Danio rerio: one gene and its partners. The protein of the gene in region 3 purifies or fractionates together with the protein of the main gene of each other region. This does not show direct contact. Links are inferred from orthologs where the notes say so. Each region holds a gene or a part of one and is shown on either strand. Other genes may lie near its edges.

What was found.
Region 1: the proteins of znf512b (region 3) and chd4b purify together in Homo sapiens (affinity purification with mass spectrometry; 4 studies listed by BioGRID and IntAct, with this or other methods). This does not show direct contact. The link is inferred for Danio rerio from reciprocal best matches to the Homo sapiens genes ZNF512B and CHD4.
Region 2: the proteins of znf512b (region 3) and chd3 purify together in Homo sapiens (affinity purification with mass spectrometry; 3 studies listed by BioGRID and IntAct, with this or other methods). This does not show direct contact. The link is inferred for Danio rerio from reciprocal best matches to the Homo sapiens genes ZNF512B and CHD3.

The regions. Positions count from the first base shown.
Region 1 is NC_133191.1:34,963,494-34,967,151, reverse strand, and holds part of chd4b (chromodomain-helicase-DNA-binding protein 4), read left to right. Parts: intron 1-1,806; coding exon 1,807-1,976; intron 1,977-2,500; coding exon 2,501-2,690; intron 2,691-3,471; coding exon 3,472-3,558; intron 3,559-3,651; coding exon 3,652-3,658. UniProt on the Homo sapiens protein: ATP-dependent chromatin-remodeling factor that binds and distorts nucleosomal DNA. Acts as a component of the histone deacetylase NuRD complex which participates in the remodeling of chromatin.
Region 2 is NC_133182.1:20,749,490-20,753,785, reverse strand, and holds the start of chd3 (chromodomain-helicase-DNA-binding protein 3), read left to right. Parts: upstream 1-1,385; 5' UTR 1,386-1,515; coding exon 1,516-1,681; intron 1,682-4,296.
Region 3 is NC_133198.1:14,985,814-14,989,471, reverse strand, and holds part of znf512b (zinc finger protein 512B), read right to left. Parts: intron 3,561-3,658; coding exon 3,481-3,560; intron 3,244-3,480; coding exon 3,115-3,243; intron 1-3,114. UniProt on the Homo sapiens protein: Involved in transcriptional regulation by repressing gene expression. Associates with the nucleosome remodeling and histone deacetylase (NuRD) complex, which promotes transcriptional repression by histone deacetylation and nucleosome remodeling.

The DNA of each region.
Region 1 (3,658 bases), on a different chromosome or scaffold from region 3:
CTCCGCAAGTCTGTCTGAGACATTCATAAATATTCCTAGCAAATCTAATAAATGTTGGAGACATACTCGCTACATAAACACATTAAATGACACGTTTATTTGAGGGCGCGTAAAAAAATCTGCACCTGAGCAGCGTATATTTGAGGGCGCGCAAGATGTTTTGTGGACGAACAGAAATCGGCGCTCAAGCAGAGATTGACATAATCGTAGGCTATTACATGAATGCAATCTCAACTTAAAACTGCGCCCATGACATTTGTCAATGAAATAAAGACACATGTATTGGTAGATCTGTGTAAAATGGCCAACAGAGTCTGCCGCCACAGCTGGAAAAAATCCTAGAGGAAACAATGGAGTACATCAACTCCTCCAGAAATTATACCTGGAAGATGGAGGCTTTCATCGGTGCTTCTGACTGTGCCAAGCCCAGTTTGATGAAGTGTTGTCCGGTGTTAGCAAGAGGATTTCCCCTCGGGACATTAACGACAAGCACTATGTCATAAACATGCCTCTACAAGAGAAGTTCAGATTTTTCCACTCAAGCAATTTGTGCGAAACAATTTACTTAGTATGTAAATCGCGATTGATGCTTCATCCACATCTGATGTGAACGCAGCAATAGGGTGAATTATTTTGTGAATTAATCAGTACTTCATATGCATAAACGTTGTCATGGTGTAGAGGTGAACTTCTGCTTTCAGTTGAGCGTTATTTAGAGGTTTAAACTAAGCATGACACCCTGAGTGTGTATTTTAGTAAGATCAGTTTCACTCTGATGCTTTAGGAGGTTAAAATGGTTTCTGCTAAATATGGATTTGACCATATACATGCATATACATGTATTGACAGTACATAGGAAAGTATAGTACAGCCTTCATTTTTCCCTGTAAATCTGAATTTTACAACCATACAGTACACAAGACACCCTTTAAAATGTAGTTCAGTGTAACATTAGTTTATACAGTGTAGCTACCTGTGATTCAAATTTTAAAACCTTTTTAAATGACATTAAAATACTTGAATCCACTTAGAATACTTAAAATCCAGTAAGTGTTTAAGGATCACAGTGCAGTCCCAAAATATTATGCTCACAGTCAAGCATAATTAAATAGCCATTTTAATAGAGTATTATTTAATAACCATTTTAAATCCTTATAATTTTTTTATCACTAGGTTTTACCCAATTTAAATTGTTTTATCATTTAGAATAAAAAAAAATGTATGTTCTCTCATTTCATTAAATGATTTAAAAGTACAGGTCAGCTTAAGTATGTTGGATTATTTTACATGAATATGATGCTGGAACATTATTTCAACCATATTTTGGCATTGTAGTTTAAAGCAGGTTGAAAATTCAACTGTTTATTGTGCTTTCTATGCATATGAAATCAGTTTTGTGAATGTACTTTGAAGCAGGCATTCATTTGATCCTGGATGGGAAAATGTTAAAGGTAAACATCTGACATATTGGCCTGACTGTGCCAGCCAAAAATTATTATTGTTGAGCCTTGGGCTGAAATAAATAGCATCACCTTCTCTGTGACCTATTTACCACTCACTTTAAATCAGCGCCGTTGTATTTTTATCTACCATATCACTATGTCTTTCCCTCACGGATTTGCGTTAGAAAAGCATTATCAGTTTTTAATACTTATCATTGCCAGTGCATCAAGTATGTATAGCAATAACTAATATGGGAAGTAAATGAGTTGTGTAAGTAAATATAGGAAATCAATGGAAATGGGCACAATACAAGATTGGGACAAAGTAAATCAATTCTAAATTCAATAAATTTCTCCCATCCAGGTGACAATAAAGAAGAAGACAGCAGTGTTATTCACTATGATGACAAGGCGATTGATCGCTTGTTGGATCGAAACCAAGACGCAACGGAGGACACAGAACTGCAGAGTATGAATGAATACTTGAGCTCATTTAAAGTGGCCCAATATGTGGTCAAAGATGAAGATGAGGAGGTGAGTTTGAGTGCGATTCACTGTCTGTGCTTGGTTTGTTTTGGTATTATATATAGTCGAACCAAATTTTATTGAGACATCTTTGACATTTCTCACAATATCACAATTTATTCACCTTAGCTTATAAAATGCTTATAAAATATCAGAATAAGTTTATCTTGATAATGTCAGATAATGGAAAGAAAAGTATGATATGCAATGGATTACAATCAACCAAAACCACAGCGTATAGTTGCACAATTATCAATACATTGTTGGTTTACTTTAGCCTCAATGACATCCTGTAGTCTCCCCTGTCAACCCGATCTTCAATATTTTTTCACTGCTTAAGCTGCTTCACTTTATCCTGGTTTTAAGTTACTTTGAAGAATATTTGGATATAATATGGCATAAATTACTATATTTTTTCATTTACATCACCTATAGTGTGCTTTAGTCCTTCATAATAATAACCGTCTATACTAAATGTGGCAGAATAATTTTTTTGTTTGACTGCATGTGTTATAACATGGTGTATTTCGCAGGAGGAGGATGTGGATAGAGAGATCATTAAGCAGGAGGAGAGTGTAGATCCTGATTACTGGGAGAAACTGCTGCGGCATCATTACGAGCAGCAGCAGGAAGATCTCGCTCGTCATCTGGGCAAAGGCAAACGGCCACGCAAACCTGTTAACTACAATGACTGTTCACAGGAGGACAGAGGTAGTAGACGGGGTACAGACGCACTTTATTTCCTTTTTTACTGCTCTTTCCCTTTATGTTTGTGAGTATGTGCGCGTGTGCTGTGGATAAAGACGAACGTATTGGTGTGATCTCAAGGTCTGGAAGATTTCTTTACTCTTTGTGTGTTGTGTTTTGTCTGTTTATTATTGTTTATTATTTAAATAGATAATAGATAAACTAAAAGTCAAATGTTTGCAGACTTATTCTTAAAATAATGTTCTCATATTCTTTTAAAATTAAATGCGGAAGATATGTTGTATATTAGGCACTAAAATGTAATGTGATAATTTATCTGACATTTCAAAAGTCGATCATTTATCACTTTAATAATTCTTATTTAATTATGCAGTCTTTGTTGAGAATTTTCTTTCAACATTTCACAATAATGTTAAAGTTAGAATTAATGTTAAAGTAATTTGACAGAGACAGATGTTTTAAAGTGTATACTATACCGATAATTACATTATATTGTTTATGATATATTATGCAGTTACACATTGATTATAAATGTTTATATTATATTATATTATATTATATTATATTATATTATATTATATTATATTATATTATATTATATTATATTATATTATATTATATTATATTATATTATATTAACTTATGAAATCAACTCCAGTCTTGTTTAAACATTTGACCTTTCTGTTTTGAGTGTGAGCATGAATCCCAATTGTTTTGTTCCCTTCAAATAAATATTTCCTCTGCAAGTCAACCCAAATACTCATAAATATTTTGTCCCACTCATTTGGATTCTCAGACTGGCAGGATGATCAGTCTGATAACCAATCAGATTACTCTGTGGCTTCAGAAGAGGGTGATGAGGACTTTGATGAACGATCTGAAGGTAAGAAACAAATTGAAACCATTATTTTTGTTAATAAAAGTTTGTCGTACATGTATACATTTTACTGACATGTTCCTCTTGGTTCAATAACAGCCGCTAA
Region 2 (4,296 bases), on a different chromosome or scaffold from region 3:
TCTATTTTCTTTAGCTAATATTCATTTAGTGCTGGGCAGCTCTCCGATAACAAGCTTTGTCTTGCCCTCACCTCAAACAGTTAAGCAAAATAATCCCAAAAATCTGGTTGTAAACTAATCTAACACAGGTGCAAATGCTGTAATTAGTTTTTTATTTATTTATTTATTAAAGAATTCTCATTTAATGTAAAAACAATGGATCCAGCTTCATTCAGTTTTGGAAAACTACAATAGACCTATATGATGAATTTAATAAACGTGGGATTTATAGGCATGAAAGGCATGGATATTAGTTAAGAAAACATTGAAAAACTTTTATTACATTTCTATTTCTATACCCATTTTTATCAGAATAAATAATATGTATGCAAATCTCTATTGATTAGAATTTAAAAACAGTAATATAAATGTTATGATTTATAATACTTTATTTTCATTCTATTAATATAATTGATAATAATAACTATTTTAATTTGCTAGCTTTTTATGTAAAGCAGAAGTATCAGACATTAAATGGGGAGCCTTTAAATTTGGCAAAGCCTGTAAACCGCTGGTAAATATATGACACCAAATATAGCCTACATTGGAAAATGAAGAATAAAGTGCAGGTTCAGCGTATTCCACAAAGAAGGCATGGGTGAATCCGCGTGCACAGATAACCGGTGATTTGCGGCATGCCAACTCGTGCCCCTTCACCATGCAATATTTGCTAATAATTTGCGTAATGCAGCAGCCAAACGCGCAGAATGATCAGTTATTCTATTTGCTTTAGCTAATAATTAATTAAGAGCTGGGAAGCTCTCTGATAACTTGCTTTGTTTTGCCCTCACCTCAAACAGTTAATTTTTAAGCAGTGCAACATGATGTAAGTGTGGGCATGGCTGCGGCAGCGCTTTCCCTCTAGCCAGCCTCACTCTCATCAGCCCCATTCCCTCCACACATTTCTATTTGTTTTTTTCAAAGGTGGGGGCTTACAGAATATTAAGGTGGCCATGTTTGTTAGATTCGTGTCGCGCTTGCATTGCTTTGCGCACAGTGCGCGCCGCCGCCACTGCGTGCACTTTCGGAAAAACCAGACAGTTACAGGCAAGAGTCTGCAGCAGTGAGAGAACACGAGCACACGCAATAAAAGCAGCTCACAGACAAGTTGCATTTAGCAAAACGCCTCCCTACTGTAACAAAGTGCTTATTTTTAAGGAGGGAGGGGAGACTAGAGAGAGAGAGAGGGGGGGGGGAGAGAAAGAAATAAAGGAAAAAAGGAGGAGGAGAAGGAGGGGGGCGTTCTGAAATAATATAGTCAGCCATTTTTATGTAAGGGGATTTTTCTTATGGGGGGGGGGGGGTTGTTAAAAAATAAATATAAGGGCGGCCATCTTTGTTTCTCTGCCTTGTAGTGTAAAATATTCCAAAACGCCCCCCACTTTTTGTGTGTCGATTTGAATATTACATAAATATCATAATTTGGAAGGAATACACTTTTAGATCTCGCGGAACGGGGTCACCGACGGGAATATAATGTCCTCTCTTCTCCGTTCTTGTGAGGAAGATGAGGGCACGGCGGTTAATTCCGAGGGAGGAGATTTTGATGAAGAAGAAGAAGACGACGGGGACCTGGACGAGAACGCAAGCGACATAAACTCACCGGCGGCGCCTCGAGAAACTGCAGCAAGAGCCGCGCCAGGTACCGTACTGTCCGCGGCACACACGGGAGCGCGCGTTGGGCACAAAAACACAGCGAAACTAATCAAGAATCCTCCGAAAACTGCGACAGCTGCATCCAGACATCCATTCTGGATGCTCTGAAGCGGTCAGCTATTGTGTATGCTTTATTTATCCGCGTGCGTTGTGGCTAGGAGTTGCATGGAGTTTGGCTAAAGTTGACCGTTCCCCCTCTTTCTGTCCCGTCTGTGTCATTCATCAGGTCTGTCATGGGATGGTGCTTTCTCATCTCCCGCTGTGATCTGACAAAGGATCATTAAGCCGCCACCGTCCCGTGTTTTCTTTGCCCTGAAGGTTCGAACTTAATACTTAGGCAGATAAAGACAGATAAGCCGAAGCACTGATCTAAATGCGGGTGAGAGAGAGGCGTGAGCGTCAGGACTACCGCTTTGAATTGTGACAATGTAAATAAACTTGACCCGACCCACTGGTTCAGCACAGGGCACGGAGATGCTTTCACTTTGTGAAATGACAGTTTGCACGCTGTCATCAGCCCTCAGGCGGTCTCACGGTGTGACTGTGTCGATAAAACGCCTCATTATTGTGTGTATGTCACTATAATGACATCAACAGATAGTGATGAGGGAAAAGTTTCCGCTATTTAGTCGATTACGTGCCAGTAGTTGACAAAGACGTAAACTGATGCTCAGTCATTTTCCTAAAAAATGACTCCTTAAGCAGTTTTACACTTCATCCTAAATATAACTTATTCCAACTTTTATTTAAACAGTGTTTTGTCACATTTGGGGCCTCGGCGTCTCGCGCATTCCCACAGTGCGCGTGAATCAATTAGCACGCACGCGCGTCCTGTCTCGCCCCCGCGACCTTCAGCTGCGGGTCATCCGGTGGTCTGCTCCCCTGGTGCGGGAGTTCAAGACGCGGGGAGCATCAGCTCGGCTCGCGGCCTCTCAATCACCGAGCCCCGAGTGTGTGTTACTGCCGCCCCTGGCTGCTGCAGCGAGCGGGAAAAAAGGCTCTGCCCGCGCGCCCCAGCAACAAAGACGATATCAAATCCATCTCGTTTATCGCAGCGCAATGGCGATAGCTCTGCGTTATCAGACATTGCGTGCTGATATTTCTGCTTCGGTTGCACATTTGTAAAAACAAGCTGTATCAGGGTGAACGATACACAGTCAGACGTGAGTACTTGTTAAGTGAGGAGGCATTTCTTTGTTATCTAACTCTAAAATCTGTTTGGTTATTTTAAACTAATTAGTCATATTAGTATAATAGACTACTGGGTAATATTATGACTAAAGCCTACATCTGGGTTAGGGACTAAAAAGAGTTTCATGCACAGAGCTTTCTGCTTAAAATGAAAAAGAAAACTGGATTTTATGATAATGGTTTTACGTATCTGCTGTAAATACAGTAACATAGTAGCTGTTTTGTTTAATAATACAACAATGATAATAATAATATTAATAATACATTATTATATAAACGTTAAGACTGCCTTTTAAGAATATTTTGATTTTTTGTTGGTGTTCATCATCACAGCAACAGAGGCTTGAAAACTCTTTCAGCTTAGTCCCTTATTTATCAGTGGTTTCCACAGCGGAATGAACCGCCTGCTTGAAAACTTAATAGGCGATTTATTGTCAAGCGTAAACATTTTCACATTTAAGCTGGCCTTAAACAAACTATAAGACTCCTTTTGTTAACATTATTGGAACTAAACAAACGATAACTACCCACTGTAAAGCACTTATACTCAATCTTAGGTGATGTTTATTTAATGTTTATCAACTGACGACACAGTGGCTTAGTAGTTAGCACTGTCACTGATTCGAGCAAGAAGGTCGCTGATTCGAGTCCCGGCTGGGTCAGTTGGCATTTCTGTGTGGAGTTTGCATGCTTGTATTGGCGTGGGTTTCCTCCAGGTTCTCCGGTTTCCCTCACAGTCCAAAGACATGTGATATAGGTGAATTGGATAAACAAAGCTGGCTGTAGTGTATATTAGTGAATGAGTGTGTATGGATGTTTCCCAGTTCTGGGTTGCAGCTGGGAGGGCATCAGCTTTGTAAAACATATACTAGATAAGTTGCCGGTTCATTCCACTGTGGCCACCCCTGATGAATAAATGGACTAAGCTGAACGAAAATGAATGAATGTTTAATAATTTGGAAAAATTTAAATCAATAGTCAAAGCTGTTTTATTAGTTTAATTAAGCTAACGACTAATAAAGTTAGCTGTATTTGTATTAAGCTAACGTTAACAACGAATCTGATTCTCACTGTTGATGTTAGTTAATGCATTAGTTAACGTTTACTAATGAGACTTTAAAAGATTGTAAAATGTACTTTATGAACCAAATTAATCTTGTCTAAATCATTTATGTACCATAAAGCAATACACAAAAGGTATGGTTCTTTTAGTTATTATACCTGTTATAGGTTAAATAATACATACCTGTCTTTTAGTTAAAATAACCGCTTTTTTGCAGCTTATGTCGATATGATGATAGTACTGATGAATAACTTTAGCAGTTCAGAACATTTATACCATCAAATTCCACTTTGCCCCTCTGAAAGATGATGTCTATGTCAAACCTGTTATAACACACATATAATTAT
Region 3 (3,658 bases):
AAAAAGAAAAAGTGGAAAAATAATTAATATTTGACATGACTTCGCTGACCTTGGATGACTGCATCCATACATTTCTGCAATGACTCAAATAACTTATTAATAAACTCATCTGGAATGGCAAGGAAAGCATTCTTGCAGGACTCCCAGAGGTCATCAAGATTCTTTGATTTATCTTCAATGCCTCCTCCTTCATCTTACCCCACACATGATCAATGTTAATGTCTGGCGACTAGGCTGGCCAATCCTGGAGCACCTTGACCTTCTTTGCTTTCAGGAACTTTGATGTGGAGGCTGAAGTATTAGAAGAAGCGCTATCCTGCTGAAGAATTAGCCCTCTCCTGTGGTTTGTAATGTAATGAGCAACACAAATGTCTTGATACCTCAGGCTGTTGTTGTTGCCATCCACTCTGCAGATATCTTGCACGCCCCATACTGAATGTAAACCCAAACCATGATTTGTCCTTCACCAAAATTGACTGGTTTCTATTAGAATCTTGGCTCCACTTCCGCAGTATTTGTGATGATTGGGATGCAGCTCAATAGATGATTCATCTGAAAAAAATCTACTTTCTCATACTTTTCCAAATCATCAACTAGAAGTCAAACAAGTTTTGCTCTCACAACTAGGATCGACGGAAAGAGTCTAGTCAGGTAGTGTGTGTGTGTGTGTGTGTGTGTGTGTGTGTGTGTGTGTGTGTGTGTGTGTGTGTGTGTCAGGTAGTGTGTGTGCCGCTAAACGACACTTCCACCAAAAATGAGGTAATGACATTAAGCGAATGTAGAACAAACAAAACATATATTTGCATCAAATTATCTCAAACGCAGCGCCAGCTTATTCAGAAATAACAGTTTGTTGGCAAAAGCCTCTAAACGCCACTAGCCTTTGACAGCAAAAGCTGCTATGTCCTGAGAAACAAGCAGAAAACGCAAATCGAATCATAGCTTTTCACTGTAGCAGCGCACTGATACGTCGGCCTTTATGAAGAGACTGTTTTATTCTAATTCCGATTTACATTTTAAAAGATGGAGTTTGATGAGCCTGTTCGACTGTCAGTGACGGTCAAATGAAAATGAAAATGAAAATGTCCCTCAAATGTCCCTGTGCATCATAAGAAAAAGAATACACAAATGTACAGTCGGAAGTGCAGCATGCATTCATAATGTTTTTTTTGTGCAGTGCTGGTACTTTGAATGAGTTCGATTTACTTGACATTGAGCGGCAACTCAATTTCACGAAAGATCATTTTAAGATACTATTTTTTTTGTGGATAAACAAGAGACAAAAAAAGAGACCAAGACCTTGAGCATAGTGAGAATGAATGAGTGACAGCTTTTAAAATTGTCTGAGAGACATCCCCTTTTTTGCACAGTAGGCCTTGTCTTTTATTTGCTAATGTATATATATATTACTTTAATAAATTGTATTCCTTTTTTCATTATGGACAATGCACAGACATTGATGTTTCACAATGTTTTTACACTACATTATTTGAATCTAAAAAGCTTAGTTTGCAATGTTTAATTTTTTTTACATTACTTTTACATTACAACCTTAATAAATCAAAATCCAAAATATCAGAAATACCAACAGATTGTTAACAATTAATTAATGCTAGTTTTAATATTATTGATTAATGCACTTACTCGACAGATGTCATTCATTCAATTGCCTTATAGTCCCTGGTTTATCAGGGGTTACCACAGCAGAATGAACCGCCACTTACTTGACATATTTATGTATTTTATATTTTAGGTGGTTTGTGTAATGTGTTTTAAGTTTAATAAAATAATTTCTAATTGCATCTTTAGTGATTTTCAACTAATTACAGTCTTGTCCCAATAGGTGGATTTAGAGGTATTTGCAAAAAAGCACAAGTGGATTTAGCTCGTTTTGATGGCAAAAAAAATCTAAAAAGTGAAATTTTGGAAAAAAATGTGTTTTATTTACCAGATAATAACCTTCTCATTATCTATAATAATATAATACAATATATAAAACATCTGAACCTAAACAGAGGAGCCTGATAGAAAAATGTTCATTTACAAGAAAAGTGATGTGATTTATCTATCTATCTATCTATCTATCTATCTATCTATCTATCTATCTATCTATCTATCTATCTATCTATCTATCTATCTATCTATCTATCTATCTATCTATCTATCTATCTATCTATCTATCTATCTATATATATATATATATATATATATATATATATATATATGAAGTTCTTTTTCAGTGTGGAAGAGTAAATAATATTACTGTTAAATGTGTCTTATAATAAAATACTCTAGTTCACTAAATGTATTTGTTCATGTTTTATTACAGGATAAGTTTGAAGTTCATCATAAAACATTTAGATAAATTCAAACAAGGTTAGTAGGTGCACAAATACACACCCAGGTCTGGGGTTAGCACTTTATCGGCTGATACCAGTCCATGTATTGGAATCGGTATCGAAAAGGGTATCGGGACATCTCTAATTTAAGGATCACAGAGATGCCAATAAAGGCTAATCAATTGACATTTTACATCTTTACATATTTGTACAATTCTTCAATCCACTTGGTTTCACCTATTTTTCAGCAAGATGATTTTAAGTACCCAATGTAACATGCGTTCTCTCTCTCTATATATAATCAGTTGTGTAAATATACACTGTGTATTTAGTAAACATATATTAAGATTTTATCATATCATTAAGATTTGACTAAAAATGTAATAGCTTTAATTCCCAGGATTACACTAAACTGATTAAAAGTTGAGATGTTTATAATCTCACAAATAATTTAAAATTTAAATAGGTTAAATGTATTCGTCCAAACTTTATATTCAAGACAAAATAAATGTAGAAATCTATGTATTCATCCTCTTTGACACCTGCCAAAACAACACAAGTATGCCAGTATCAATACATTTCAAAGCTATTGCAGCTAAATGTCCTAGCTGACGCAATCCTAAACCAACCCAAACCTTTAGCACTTCATAACCTTGACTTGACTAGTCGGAAACTGTCCATACAACCCACTGACTATAGTGTAAACCCCCACTGAGTGCATACACGTTTTTTTTTTTTTTTTTTTTTTTGCAGTGTAATGGATATTAGTGTTTACCCCTTGGCATCGCTGATAGTGATATTTAAGTCCGTAAATACTGGGGAATTCCAGCCAGCAGCCTGAGCTTGGACATTTCACCCTGGAACGACTCTTAAACTCCTCTTTCCACTGAACCATCATATGGGCCTTCAACGAGAGAAAAGCAAACAATACACAAGAGGCACTGCAAACTATTAGCAATCAATTGACTAACACTCAGCCCTCTGTGAGATGATCCTCTTCCAAATTCAACAGTTGGAAGTACTTTTGGAAATTCCCCTTACTCATTTCACAAACGGCTTTAAAAAACACTCAAAATCCCAATCTGGCATGTACTTCGCTCCTTTATCAGTGGCCAAAAGATATATTTAATGCTTTACTCACAGGAATATTGCGCAGCTCCTGTACCTCCACTCGAGGACGCCCTTTTTTCTTGCCCTCTGCTTTGTCATTATAGGAGGAACCTGAGAACATATCAACATCAAAAAGCTCGTAAGAGCACTTACATAGTTTTATATTCAAATGTAATGGCTAATGTGATTGAGAGGAGTTGATTTTCATG